2 linked regions of the Notamacropus eugenii genome follow. The protein of the gene in region 1 purifies or fractionates together with the protein of each later gene. This does not show direct contact. Links are inferred from orthologs where the notes say so. Each region holds a gene or a part of one and is shown on either strand. Other genes may lie near its edges.

What was found. Proteins that work in one complex are often made in the same cells at the same time.
Region 2: the proteins of DHX9 (region 1) and polyadenylate-binding protein 2 purify together in Homo sapiens (affinity purification with mass spectrometry; 4 studies listed by BioGRID and IntAct, with this or other methods). This does not show direct contact. The link is inferred for Notamacropus eugenii from reciprocal best matches to the Homo sapiens genes DHX9 and PABPN1.

What each region holds. Positions count from the first base shown.
Region 1 is NC_092873.1:462,361,172-462,368,496, reverse strand, and holds the start of DHX9 (ATP-dependent RNA helicase A), read left to right. Parts: upstream 1-4,318; 5' UTR 4,319-4,470; intron 4,471-5,927; 5' UTR 5,928-5,948; coding exon 5,949-6,059; intron 6,060-6,678; coding exon 6,679-6,819; intron 6,820-7,325. UniProt on the Homo sapiens protein: Multifunctional ATP-dependent nucleic acid helicase that unwinds DNA and RNA in a 3' to 5' direction and that plays important roles in many processes, such as DNA replication, transcriptional activation, post-transcriptional RNA regulation, mRNA translation and RNA-mediated gene silencing.
Region 2 is NC_092878.1:9,833,312-9,840,578, forward strand, and holds the start of polyadenylate-binding protein 2, read right to left. Parts: upstream 3,007-7,267; 5' UTR 2,852-3,006; coding exon 2,501-2,851; intron 2,383-2,500; exon of another isoform or gene 2,256-2,382; intron 2,166-2,255; coding exon 2,051-2,165; intron 1,870-2,050; coding exon 1,802-1,869; intron 1,673-1,801; coding exon 1,566-1,672; intron 1,410-1,565; coding exon 1,322-1,409; intron 1,240-1,321; coding exon 1,088-1,239; intron 342-1,087; coding exon 302-341; 3' UTR 1-301.

The DNA.
Region 1 (7,325 bases):
ACCCGGCTATGAGTTGTCTCAATTAATATCTTTGCTGATTCCCTAGGATTGTCCAAGTAAAGTATATCATCTGCAAAGAGGGATAGCTTTATGTCTTCTTTATCTATTTCTATGCCTTTAGTTATCTTGTCTGATTGTTGCTGGCATTTCTGCTGTCACAGTTGCTGCTGCTTTTCCTGGTTGTTGCATTTATTCATTTCTCCTGCATTTCTGTTGTTTGGGGTATTTGAGAAGCAAATAAACACCTTAGATTTAGTATTTTTCCTAAGAATGTTTCAAACGCCTCTTTATTATGAATGTCCATCTTTTTCTTTCATGATTAAGCCAATATTTATAGTGTAGGTCACCATAGGTTGCATCCTGAGCTTCACTGCTCTTCAGAACACACTATTCCACTCCTTCCTATATTTTCTGGTGAGTACAGAATCGTCTTGTGTTACTCAGATTTCTTTTCCTTTGTATTTGAAGACCTTCTCTTGATCACTTGCAGAACTTGTTTCTGAAATGATGTGTCAGATTTAACTATCATATGTCTTGGAGTTTGTAGCCTTGGATATTTTTCTGGAGGTGACGAATTCATGAATATTTTTCAATTGCTATTTCATTTTCTATCACAGAAGGTCTGGATAATTTTTCTTCTATTATTTCTAGCATTGTGATGCTGAAGATTTTTGTGTCCTGTTATATTCTTCTAGGAGACTTTTGATCTTTAGGTTGTCTCTACATGGCCTGTCTTCAAGATCAGTATATTTTTCTTGCATAATAGTGAATATATGTTCTTTTAATGTGATTGTTTTTTGCTTTTCTTCTTCTATATTGTCCTTAACTTCTGTATTTTTGCATTTCCAATCTATTTTTCTCTCTTTTGTTTCTTTGGTGATACTTGCCATCATAAATACCAGTTTTTCTATTCTGCCCATTATTTTTGCTACACAACCATAAATTCTGCTTTAATTCATATTTCTCCTTTGAACCACTCAGGAATAGTGTGCTGTGATTCTATGTTGTCCTTACATTCCAAGGTCTTCTGTCTCATTAAGTGTTGGAACATTTTCCTTTGTTTTATAGTATTTATTCATGATTTGCTCTCTCTAAAAGCAATGTTCCCTTCTGTTGTTAGTGTTTTCCTTGTTGATTTATTTGCTTGTGTTCAAGGTCTTTGAGTTTTCATCTTCCTGAGTTCATTTCAGTCTTTTTTCCTTATTTTCCCCTATAGCTTACTTTCTGATTCTGCCCTCTTTGATGGTGGTTACTTTGGGGGCTAGATTTCAAAGTGCCCCAGCCTCCTCTTGCACTGTGCAATTCATGATTCATTAGCTGAGGTCTCTGCCTCAGGTGACCTTTGGGTTGACAGAAATGGCCATAGCTGGATGCTGAGCTCTTCTCTGTGGTTTAGTGAAATGCTACATGGTTCCTCTACTTTCATAGTATATTGTTTCAGTGTTTTGTTCCATTCCTTCTGTTCCTCCATTCTTTGATCTGATACTGTTAGTACAGAGCTTTGTGGTCTGGTGGTACAAGATAGTCTGTCATAGCACTGTCTGTCATGGCCCCCAGCAGGCTTCTGCTTCTGAAGGGCTCCCACTATACTGGCTGTCACAGCCCAAGAAAACTTATACAGCCTGGCGTCAGGGGCTCCAAAGCACTGGAAAAATGGAAGGGGGATGATAGTGTGGAGTTAGATTTTGTTGCAAGTCCATATGTCGGATGCTTGGGTTTTCTAGTGTAGCCTCACTGTCGTAGCATAGGAGGTGGGAAAAGGATGCTGAGTGAACTCAGGATAGGCACCAGGTCATGGTGCAGTTTTTTTTAACCTTCTTCTGGATTCTAGAGCATGGGAACAGTTGAAGTTGCTTTATTTTTGGTGCATAATTTCTGTTTTAGAGAGGTTTAAGAGGTTGTAAGGATAAGAAGAAACGTTTAGTTTTCCATCTTCCACTTCACTTGATACTTGAGTTGCCTTTCTCATTCATGAATTATCATCAATAGTTAGCTTTTATATAATGCTTTAAGGTTTCCAAAATGTTTTACATATGTAAGATGACTGGAATATGCACAGAATGGCACCATGACATGTAATGGAAATACCTTGGAGAAACTTGACCATACATTGACATTCTGGAACTGGCACTGGTCTGTTAACCATGTGGTTAAGAGAAGCCTTTTTTGTTTGCCTGTGTAGGTGGAACTGGAGATGTCTTCAGAAAGGTCAGAGTCAAACTGGGGTCTGTGACTTTTTAAAAAATATAGCAGTATTTCAGTATAATTTGGTTTTTTTTTTTATTTTGTGCATTTAAAGACATCATTCTGAAAGGGGCCCATAGAATTCACCAGTCTGGCAAGGAGGGCCCTAACCAAAAAAGATTAAAGACCCCGTTCTAGTCCCTTAATCATCATCATATTTGACTCCTCTCTGCTTGAAAAGTTCCAAGGAGAGGGAATCTACCACCTCCGGATGCTGCTCATTTCATTTTTGGATATTTATAATTATTAGGAGGTTTTTTCTGACATCAAGCCTAACTTTGCCTCTTTCTTTTATCCATTGTGTGTAGCTCTGTTCTAACCAAATAGATCAGTTCACAGCCATGCAAACTATTATTGTTTAAAATAACTTTTTATTGATAGCTCTTGTTTTTATGCTGTTTATATTTACCAATATAAAAGAAGCTATCTTTTATAACAAAGAATAAGAGGGAGGGAAAACTGGGAAAACTAAAAAACTTATCAAAAATATCTACATTAATATGCAGTATTCCATATACCTAGTCCTTCAGCTCTGTAAATACTAACTCTTAAATATACTCCCACTTAACTGACACCTAAGGCAACAGGTTCCAATACTGGGAGCTAACTCAAAAGATCAACCTCTCTTTGGTCCCTCCCGGAGTTTATTCTATGAAACTCTAGAATACAGGGGTTCCCCACACTAACGTCTAGAAGAGAAATATGAGTAAAAAGTATCTATTTTTTTTTACTTATCACTATCCTTTTAACCTGAATAAGCACGAACATTAACGTACATTTACTTAGCTTTTAAGTGAACGCTTCTTTCGTAGAAGTGAATGAATTCGCTGAATTTGAATGAATTTCAAAATTGTAACATAATTAGTTCATAATGATTACAGGATGTGATAAAAAGACATAGATCATCTGATAACTGTTCTCAGAATTGCTGTTATTTTTCACACTGTCTTCATTTTATTTTCCTTGTTCACAACTCCTAAAGGCACGTTACTGGGGTATTTGTGTCCGTGTCATAAACTGACTTCACTGACTTTTACTGCAATTGCAATAGTTACAGCGTTTAGTAGATATTTCGCAGTAAAGCCCTTCACCACCGATCTCCAGCCTATCTTTCCAGGCTGACTGCGCTTCTCCTCACAACTCCGTGCTGCCGTTCCATGTGTATGTGACCTGCGCGCTGTCCTCTCGTACACGGCGCTCCATCTCCTGTCTCTCGTTCCCGGAGCGGTGGCCCCTTCACCTCTGCCTCTTGTAAAGGGTCACCTTCTCCAAGAGGCTTTTCCTCTCCTCTTCGCTAAAATCAGCCCACCTTTAGTTTGGTACGCTCGGCCCAGGTCAGGGGCTACCTTGCCCGTCTGCCGAGCTCAAGCACCTAGAACAGCTGCTAGCACGGACTAAGTCCTTAACTCGGGCTTGTTTCTAACAGAACTGAACTGGTCCGTTAAGGTTCGCGTGAAAATCCGGTCCCGTCAAGGAGACGGGAACCAGAGGACCACAGCTAGAACCCCTTCTTCTGCGTCTTGGCCAAGAGGGGGAGGGCAGCCTTCGTCATCACTGACGTTCCTCACGTTGCTAACATACTGTAGTTACTGTTTCAGCCTGGAAAAAAAATCCTGGGATTTCCGGACCCAGGCGACCACCTGGGGCAACCTCCGCTGTGTGGACAGAGGAGGACACCGAGGCTTAGCTTGCCCAAGGTCACGTGACGGAGGCGCGGCAGGTGGACCTTTTCCAGGGTCCGTGTTCTTTCCCTGAAAAGTCCGAGTTTCTCTTCGCACAATACGTGGCACGCAGTCTTATGAAAGGCAACCTTCATGCTCACAAGAAAGTGCCCCGGTGCAGGCTGCGGGACTCGGGTCCGATGTCCAAGGTCCTCCCCCAAGGGATCGGCCACAAACGGACATCGGCCCCGCCTCCAGAGAAATAACGGGCTCTCCCGAGCGGTAGCCCCTCCCACCCACGACGGTGGCTCCCCCTATTGGCTTCCTTCCCCCAATTATCCCCGCCCACCCCTGCGTCTTTTGCGTCTTTGGTCACGTTTCCCGCCCCCATGCCACTTAAGCGCACGCGCAACTTTTCTTTCCGCTTTCCTTCTTCCGCTGCAGTAGGAGCCATTTCGCGACGGGCTGCGCGCGGCTGGCTGTGTGTCTGTGGGGCCTCTCTGAAGGAACCGAGCCACGCGCGACTTTCGGAAGAGCAGCTCTTGGGGACACGGGGAAAAAGGCGGTAAGAAAGGGGAGTCATTCCCGTCTTTGGACGCGGCGAGGATGAGTGGGCGGAGACTGTTTTGTTTTGTTTTGGTTTTTTTTTTTTTTTTTTTTTTTTTTTTTTTTGCTCCTCTGCAGTTACCGCTTTGTCGCTTAGCGCGGGTGAGGGGGAAGGGTGGGGGTGGGGTAGCCTTCGCAGTGTCCCGGATGTTACTGTGCATGCGCGTTCTCGTCCTTGTGCGCATGCGTCAGGAGGGAACTCCGCTCACCCAATTCAGTAGCCTTTTTACTACCTCCAGTTTGTGTAAGAGAAGTGAACGTATGTTTTGGGAATCAGGTACCTTCGCCGTTTATTCTTTCTCCCAGATAAACAAGCGAACTTGTGTTTCTCTAGTCTTCCATAATGACACTGTTCGTCGCCATGAGCTCCCAGTCTCCAACTTGGGCACAGTAACAGACTCCCGTAGTTGTGGCTCCTGCCACTTTCTCACTACTTGGGCCTGGTCGTTGTGTGATCTTCCTTTTTTTAATACCTGAGTGTGACCCACGATCCGCTTAGCTTGCGCTTTGTGAATCTTGAGGTCCGTAGTAGGTCTAGATTTGCCACGGGCCACGCACACCTTGGCCGAGCTCTTCCTTATTAATTTTGAGGCAGTTTTATGGGTCAGCAGTCCTGGTCGCCGTTGGTTTGGCAGCTGACCAGATACAGATGATAGTTATAAGACTTGGGTGCACATTTTCTCTACCTGTAACTTTTAAGAAAGGCCTGTGACTCAGCATCTTCAGATACCAATGTTGTACGGTCAGGTTTTTGGCATATAAGAAGCCATTGTATCTTTTACGGTGGAGACTACCATAAAAACCTTATTTTCCCAGAAGAAAACCTCTTATACATATTGCGAATTTGCAAACAAGTTAAAGGATGATTACCTGTAAACTAATCATAGGTCATAGAGCTGGAAAGGGATTTCTGGATGATACCTAGTTGAGTGCCACCCTTTCCCCTAGGGCTTACAGTGATTTCTCCAAGGCCTCTCAGCCAGAGAGAAAATGGAATCCAGTGTCTTTTGGCACAGAATTCAATTGATTACTTCACCCATTATGTACCATGGGTATCTTGTTTTTCGTTCCCCAAGTACATTAAAAATATTTCAGTAAATGTGTTTCTGATTACTCAGGAGTGTGAAAGGAATGGGACTTCTAGTGTTACACTGGAGGAGGAGCTTGCTAATTGTCCATAATCTGTAGTTCATGTACTTAATTTCCTAAATGTAATATGTGCCTAGACATACCTTAAGTCTTAAGGCAGAATGAAGTACATAGTTGGATAACACAAGATGTTCTGTATACATTTTAAAAAATTTTACCAAGTTTGTATTTATTTGTGTGTTGAAGTATCTTGCTCTGTTCCTTTGTATATGATGATATGCATTTCGCTGGTGTTTTGAATTTATTTTTGACTTTTTCTTTCTCAAGGTTTAACAAGACATTTACATCATGGGTGATGTCAAAAATTTCCTGTATGCATGGTGTGGGAAAAGGAAAATGACTCCAACCTATGAAATAAGAGCCGTGGGGAATAAGAACAGACAGAAATTCATGTGTGAGGTACTAAAACAATATAATTCTTTATGTGATTTATAAGAAATAAAGTTTATATTCAAGGAAGGGAAATTCTATCTTTGAAAATAATTATGCGAAATATAGTTAGGAAGTGAGGTGTAGGGGGTAAGAGTGTATGTGTGTGTCTGTCTACTTGCTGAACTATGTTGATAAGAGGTTTATACCAGCTTAGACATATTTAAATATGGACTCCCTTGTCCATACCAGTAGGGCAGAACAAAGGAATTGAGGCTAATGAAAGTGCAACAGTTTATCAGCTATATGCTCACTTGTTCTATTAACTATTTCCGGAGTTGGAGCACTACTGATGTACTATATACATAAGTGCTTGCTTTGTAATATATAAAGAAAGCTTTCTTCATGAAATTATCCAAATTTTGCTACTGAATATGCTACTATATGAGTACAGAGGATCTAGATTTTATTGTGTGGTAATTTTTTCCCTAGCCAAATGCTGTATGTGATTATTCAAGCACCTATACGAGTGGAGCTGTGTATTTGCCAAGGGTTTGTAGAGAGCTATTCTAGAGATTTGTTATTGTTAGACATTTGCTGATGTCCAGATTCTTTATTAACTCTTGAAGTAATTTTTTTTCTGTTTCAGGTTCGAGTGGAAGGTTTTAATTATACTGGCATGGGCAATTCCACCAATAAGAAAGATGCTCAGAGCAATGCTGCCAGAGATTTTGTTAACTACTTGGTTCGAGTGAATGAAGTTAAGAGTGAGGAAGTTCCAGCTATTGGAGTAAGTATAAAATTACTCTGCCTCAATTATGTGAGGAAACTCCAGGATACTAATTTTGTCTACTTTGAAGCATTTAAAATTTTCCTTCAGATACTTTAACATTGCTCCAAACAGTAGCAGGGTCCTGAACTAGGTTTCAGAAGTTTTAAGTTTTGTTCTACTTTGGTATTTACCTGCTTTGTTATCTTGAGGAAATCCTTGAATTCCTCTCTTATAGTTGCACATTATCAAGGTAATTTTTATTAAGAGCTTCATTATGAGTTAGCAAAAAGGTATTTTTATTATGAACAAAATAGTAATCCCCTTTCGATTTTAGGGGTTTTTCTGTGTATCTATCCATGTATTTAATGTGATTGGGGATAAACATTTATTCTATTCTGTTAAACTGTTAACTTTTTGCTGGTACTTTTTTAAGTATAAGCGCTTTCCATCTTTATTAATATAGTTATCATTATTCTCCCAAACCCAACCCCTTCCTAGCTTCTGTTTACCTAAGTGATACCACT
Region 2 (7,267 bases), on another chromosome or scaffold:
GTCCATGTCGAACCCCCAGAATGAATGAGCAGCCCCCTGTCCCATTCCCCGGGGGTTGGGGGGGGCCCTTGCCCTGACCAGACCCTCAGAAGCAGGTCCCTCCTCAGCAGTTAGTTATGGGATTCTCCCCCCTTCCACAGTATATCTTTTTTTTTAAAAATATTTTTTTTCCATCAAGGTCATCTTCTGTTTTTCTTTTTTTTAATTCCTTTTTCCTTCTTTCCTTTTTTTCCTCTCTCTCCTCCTAATACACACTTTTTTGTTTTTTTGGTTTGGTTTTTTTTTTGTTTTTTTGTGTTTTTTAGTAAGGGGAATACCATGACGTCGCTCTAGCCCGGCCCCTAGAAAAAAGAAGGAGAGTTGGGTGTAAACATGGTTAAGGGACACCTCAGCACAGCCCCCTCCCCTGGTCCTCCTGGTCCAACTCCAGCTCCCTCTCAGGGGAAAGGCTTCAGGTCCCACCAGAGGGCACATGCCAGCGGAGGGGAAGCTGCCCAGAGCACGGCCCAGTAAGGAGCGAGAACAAGACTGAGGACAGGCTCAGGTTCCAAACACTCTCCCCAAAAGCGCTCCTGCTGCCCTGGCAGGGGATTTCCCCATCACCCCCCAGCCCCTTCCCCAACTCTCCAGGCACCAGGAACAGCAGCTCTTCTGAGCTCCTAGGGGCTCACTAGGATGCTTAACTTCCCCTAGACACGTCAGGGAGACTAAAGTAAAGGAGCTGACCTAGGATCTCAAGGCAACAAGCATCCAGACACTAAGGGAACGAGCACCCCTAAAACCCTGACAAAAGCTGGCCACCCTAACTCCAGCACCCTCAGCAGGGCTGGGCAGATCCACTCGGACTGACACTGCCCAATGCCTTCCCACCACCTGAGGGAAACAAAGTCCATCCCGCCCCTCCCCCTTCCCAGAAGGGGCACTAAGACCCGGTTCGACCCAGGCCTCCCCTGAAGCCCTCCTACTAACAAGCCTAGGAGGGACGCCTCCCCCCGCCACTGCCCCCCAGCCCAGGCTGGCAGCTCCTCTAGGGAGGAGGGCACGAGGCCCAGAGGGAAGGAGGCGGGAGCAGCCCATCTATCCTGACCTGTAGACTCGGCCCCGGGGTCTGCTGTTGAAGCCACTATAGAATCGAGAGCGTGAACTGCTGTAGTTGGTAGCCCTGGCACGATAGCGGGCACGAGGAAAGCCCCGATCCGTGGTGCTGATTCCCGGTCGATTGGTCCGTTTGGGGATCACCTGAGCCAACGCAAAGGCCAAGGCAGGTTAGGGGCAGCCCTCGGTCCTGGAGACCTCCCGAACCGGGGCAGGAAGCGCTCACTTTGATCTGTCTTCCTCGGAAGAGAGAGTCGTCCAAGGCCATCGACGTCCTCACTGAATCTTTATCTGAAAATTCTATATAAGCGAAGCTGGAGGGGAGACACGGAGGCGGGCGTTCAGCGTGCCCTCACCCCCAAGGCTGGCGCGTCAGCTCCCCGCAGGGGGCCCCTGCCACCCTAAGCACAGAGGGCAGGACGCTCCCTGTCGGCGCTGCCCAGGGCGCACCGCGGGGACCCCCCACTCACCCCTTGGGGTGGCCGCTGAACTTGTCACAAAGGATGGTGACTCGGTTAACGGAACCACAGCCATGGAAATGGGCCTCCAGCTCTTCCGCTGTCGCGCCGTAGTCCACCTGGGCACACAGAGCCCCACTTCACCCACAGGCCGGGCCCCAGCCCTGGCACGGGGGGCGGAGGCCCCCGGTGCCACCCCCCCGCCGGGCCCCGCCCCCTCCCCGAAGCCCCGCAGCGCGGCCACTCACGTTGCCCACGTAGATGGAGCGGGCGTCGGCCTCCATCTTCTCCTCGATGGACATGATCACTGGGCCGGCTACAAAACACGAGCGATGCCCGGCTCCCAGCGGCCCCCAGCCCCTCCAGCGCCCCCCCCGGGCATTAAAGGCCCTCCCCAGGCCCGTGGAGTGCGGGCGAGGGCGCAAGGTCACGGGCGGCGGCCCCGCCCCTCCCCCTCCCCGCCCCCCCCCCCCCCCCCCCCCCCCCCCCCCGCTCACCATTGCCTGGGGGGGGGCTCATGTTCATCTGCTTCTCCACCTCGTTCTGAAGCTCCTTCAGCTTCTCCGCCTCTTCCTCCATCTCCCTTACTCGGGCTTTGATGGCCTCCAGCTCCTGGGGAGGGCGGGGTGGGAGAGCGGGCTCAGCCGAGCCGGGAGGGGACGGCCCCCGCCCCACCCCGCCTCGGCCCGGCCCGGGCCCCACCGCGTCCGGCTCCGGCTCCGGCTCCGGCCTGGGCCCCAGCCTCGGCCTCCCGCCCGCCGCCGCCGCCGCCGCCAGCCAGCCAGCACTCCGAGTCCGTCCCGTCCCGCCCAGCTCCGCGTAATTCCCCGCCCACGACCCGCCCGCCCCCTCCCCCGCCGGCCTCCGCCACGGCGGCCCCTCGCCTGCCCCGGGCCGCAGGCCCTTCCCCCATGACCCCGACCTCCCGCCCGAGCCCCCGTCCTCACCGGGTCCTCGATAGCGCCGTCCCCCGGGTCGCCCTCCACCAGGCCCGGCTCTTCTTCCTCCTCCTGACTGCCGGGGGCTCCTGCGCCGGGCCCAGGGCCGGAGGCTCCCGGGGGGGCGCGGGGCCGGGGCGGCTCCTCCTCGGGCTCGGGCTCGGGCTCTGGCTCTAGCAGCAATTCTTCAGGCTCCAGCTCCTCCGCCTCCAGCCCGTTCCCGTAGTCCCCCGCGCCGCCCGGGGCCCCCTCCCCGGGTTCCCCCCCGGCCCCGGGCACAAGATGGCGCCGCCGCCCCGGCCCGGAGCCTCGACCGCCCGCAGCCCCCGCTGCTGCTGCCGCCGCCGCCGCCGCCGCCATAGCCGCTCAGACTGGGGCCCGCCGCCCGGCGATTGGAGAGCCGCGCCGGCCACGCTGGGGGCTCATTAGTCAAGCAGCCTGCCCGTCACCGGGCGCTCGGAGTCCATTGGGTAGAAATACTTGGCAGTCAAACAAGACCACGCCTCTAAGGCGGGGCAGCTAGCCAAATCCTCGAATCTCAGTAGGGGAACGTGCCTGTCAGTCAACGTCGGTCCCGCCTCCCCCCGTCATTAGGTCACAATCCTGCCACGCTGTGACGCCATCCCCAACGGTCTCCCTATGGGCCGCGCCCCTCCGCGCTCATCTCGCCGTGCCGTGCGATTGGCCGCTAACCACGAAAGGCGGAACGGAACCTCACGCAGCCCGCCCGCAAGCCTAGCCGAAGCTCGGCTGCCCATTGGCCCCAGGGCTTCGAAGGGCTCCGACCTAGGTTACAACACGTGACCGCTCCAGCCAAACGGACCGTCCCACTCAGAGCACGGGACCCCGGGTCATATGATCGAATGTGAGGGCGCCGCCATCTTGCTTCCCTCAGTCAGTCTGAGGGCAAGCGAACCCTGAGAAGGGCAGCGCGGCGAGGCCAGGCCCGAGCCCCCGAGCGCCGCCTCGGCAGCGCCCGCCCCGCCCCGGCCTCCGCCAGCCTCCCCCGGACACAACAGCGCCGCCTGGCCTGCCACCACTGCCACCACGAGAAGGCCTCGAGAGGCCCCCTGGCGTGCGGCAGGCACGCGGCCCGTTCCCTGCCCAAGTCCGCCCTCTTCGCAGTACGGAGCCGGCACGCAGACCTGGCAGAGCTAAACCCGAGCGTTCTCAGAGGCGTGCCCACTGGGCCTAGGGCTTCACCTCAGCACGGCCTACAATGCCTTCATCCTGCAGAGCCCTGGCAGGGCGGCCTGGTGGCACTGAGCTGAGCCGGGTGGCACTGAGCTGGGCCCGGTGGCACTGAGCTGGGCCCGGTGGCACTGAGCTGAGCCGGGTGGCACTGAGCTGGGCCCGGTGGCACTGAGCTGAGCCGGGTGGCACTGAGCTGGGCCCGGTGGCACTGAGCTGAGCCGGGTGGCACTGAGCTGAGCCGGGTGGCACTGAGCTGAGCCGGGTGGCACTGAGCTGGGCCCGGTGGCACTGAGCTGAGCCGGGTGGCACTGAGCTGGGCCCGGTGGCACTGAGCTGAGCCGGGTGGCACTGAGCTGGGCCCGGTGGCACTGAGCTGAGCCGGGTGGCACTGAGCTGAGCCGGGTGGCACTGAGCTGGGCCCGGTGGCACTGAGCTGGGCCCGGTGGCACAGAGCTGAACCGGGTGACACTGAGCTGAGCCGGGTGACACTGAGCTGAGCCGGGTGGCACTGAGCTGGGCCCGGTGGCACTGAGCTGGGCCCGGTGGCACAGAGCTGAACCGGGTGACACTGAGCTGAACCCGGTGGCACAGAGCTGAACCGGGTGGCACTGAGCTGGGCCCGGTGGCACAGAGCCGAGCCCGGTGGCACAGAGCCGAACCGGGTGACACTGAGCCGAGCCGGGTGGCACTGAGCCGAGCCAAGCTGGGTGGCACTGAGCTGGGCCCGGTGGCACTGAGCTGAGCCTGGTGGCACAGAGCTGAACCGGGTGACACTGAGCTGAGCCCGGTGGCACTGAGCCAAGCCAAGCTGGGTGGCACTGAGCCGAGCGGCACTGAGCTGGGCCCGGTGGCACTGAGCTGGGCCGGGTGGCACTGAGCTGGGCCCGGTGGCACTGAGCTGAGCCCGGTGGCACTGAGCTGGGCCCGGTGGCACTGAGCTGAGCCAGGCTTCCCAAACACTGTGACTAGAGCAGGGCTCTGGCAGGTCTAACCAAAGCAGGAGGCTTTCAGAATGGGTCTGACAACCAGACAGACCTCTAGCCAAGAGGCTCCTCACCAGAAGGCTGACCACCCAGTGAACTTTCTTTGGCCCTGCCTACACTCATGAAGACCTACTAAGATGATATGGATGGTAAAGGAAGAGATTAGAAATAAAGTCCGTTAAATATCATACAAAGACAAAATTCATCAAGTTGAACAGCTTAGCACAACTGGCAAACGTTGATTGACTGAGCATGTACCTTAAAACCTAAGAATAAAACTGACCTTAGCTATAGGCTTGAGTAAGGATGCAAACCAGTCTAAACAAAGGAGTTCACAGTATAAAGCAAGCAGGGAAAGCAGAAATGCATTGATATTGAAACAGATCCTCTCTTAAGAGTATAATGAATTTGGAAAAGTTTTTACTCACACTCCGTATTAAAGAGTTTGTATCAGAGAGAAACACAATGGATGCACAGAATGTATGGTACTACAACCTCATTAGATACTACTTTTAGTGCAGTCAACACCATATGAAAAACCTCAAAAAGATAATCATGAAATTTTTACTTGCCTACTAGATTACAAGGTCCTTAAGTATAAGGGCTATTTTATTTCATATTTGTTTCCCCAACTTCTAGCATATTAATTAAGGACTTGGCTTAACAAATGTTTGTTGAAGTCAACAATTAATGGCGAGAAATAAACACTTTCTGGGGAAGTGAAGAGATCCTGAGATGGTAGAAAGGTGACAGTTGAACTACTGGAAATAGAGCTGGTCAGATGTACAGTGGGAGGTTGTTGTAAGCAACAGTTTGAACACTGGGAAGAGGCAAGAGGAGGCAGGTGGTCAAGAAGGAGTGAAGGAAAGATGCAGGAAGACTTGGCTGGAATCTGAAGTTTGGGGGAGTTGATGAGGGAGGCAAAAGAGGCAGTCGAGACAAATGAAAGGATTTCCTAACTATAATGAGGATGAATGTTCAGAGCTTCAGAGCGGGGGAGGGTAACACTATATTACATAAAAGACTGGAATATTGTTGTCTGAAGATTTTTGAAATTCGATTTTTGTCAGAAATGGTTTTGAAAAAGCCCCGTGTAGAAGCAGAGGAACAGACTATGTATAGTCTATGGCTTACATGTAGAATGACAAGGATCCATTGATTCTGGGAATTGGAGAAGGAACAAAACTCTATTTTTTTCATAACTGAATTTAATATAAAACAAGCAGCAGCATTTTTTTGTAATCCAGACTGTGATTTCGTTGGTAATGCAGATGGATAACTGTTCTGAAACCTATAGTCTCAAGAGTTTCCTGGGCCACTGAGAGGGTTAGCTGACTTCCCCAAAGCCACAAAGAGCATGCAACAAAAGCCAGACTTGGCTGCCTCAGTCAGCTGTTTGCTGTACCACTCTGACTCTCAACAGAACATTCAAGCAGAAATAATCCCCCAAACTGAAGTTTAAGGCCTGAGAATGATAGCTGGGGGTGAAGGGAGGTGGCAGGGAAGGAGAGGATGAGACAGAAAAGTATGCTTGGGAAAGGCCAGGACTTGCCCAGGCCCTTGTTGTCCAAGAAAGACTGGCTTAGGTCATATGGATGGAAGGAGAGGCCCTACTAGATTAATTCTTAATCAGAAACCCCGAAGCTTACTTGGAGCACTTCCCACATCCCTCTTGCCCTAATTCCTTCTCCTAACAAAATCACAAAAAGTTGTTTGGGAGTGAGGCCAGTACCCACCCACCCCATCCTTCCAGTTGTCAATGCAGAAGTCACAACCCTGTTCAGTCCTCATTAAACTTCTGGATTTTATTTCTTAATACGACCATTACATATTACACAAAAATAAAAGTCAAATGAACCCAGTATTTATAAATTATTAAATAAAAATACATGAATATATATTTATATTTATAGAGCTTTTTTCTTTTCTTCTAAACTAACCAAATCCGTTCTCGCATTGTTTTCTGACTTGAAAAAGAAAAATAATGTATGTCCTGGCAGAAGTGGGAAGTGGGAAAAGCACTCTCAGGACCTAGCTGCCCCACCTCCACTCCTCCCATGGCCTAAGCAAAGCCTCCCACCTGCCCCTTTGGGCTCTTGGGAGCAAGAAACACTCCCCTCAGCCTCTCCACCAAGTTTATCCTTTAGAAAATGGCAATTAAATGTGTTTCCCCCTACTTTTAATGAAATGGACTTAAAAACAGGGAGTCACACTCAGCCTGCTTGGCTAAGAGACAACCCCCAGGAACTGAACAGCCCCAAATAGAAAAGTCCCTGGTTTTCTGAAGGAAAGATCTTAGGGGATTCCACTGCCCCCAGAAGGAGTGTCTGGCCAAAACTGCCCACTGTGGTCCCATGCAGCCATGCTTCCAGAGACCAAGTCTGAGCATCCTCCCCTTTAAACCAATAACCCCTGCCTCCATCCAGAGGCAGGAGCCTTAGAGCAGTGCGTTTTTTGTCCTTCTGACCATGGGTCCTGGTGCCCCTGCTATTAAAGACCCCCAAGGGAGCTAACAGGGGCCACAGGTTAGGAGTCTGTGGTAGAGGGTGGGGGAAAGAGCTGCGTTGTAAGGGAAGAGGAGCACACGCTCCAGTTGTGA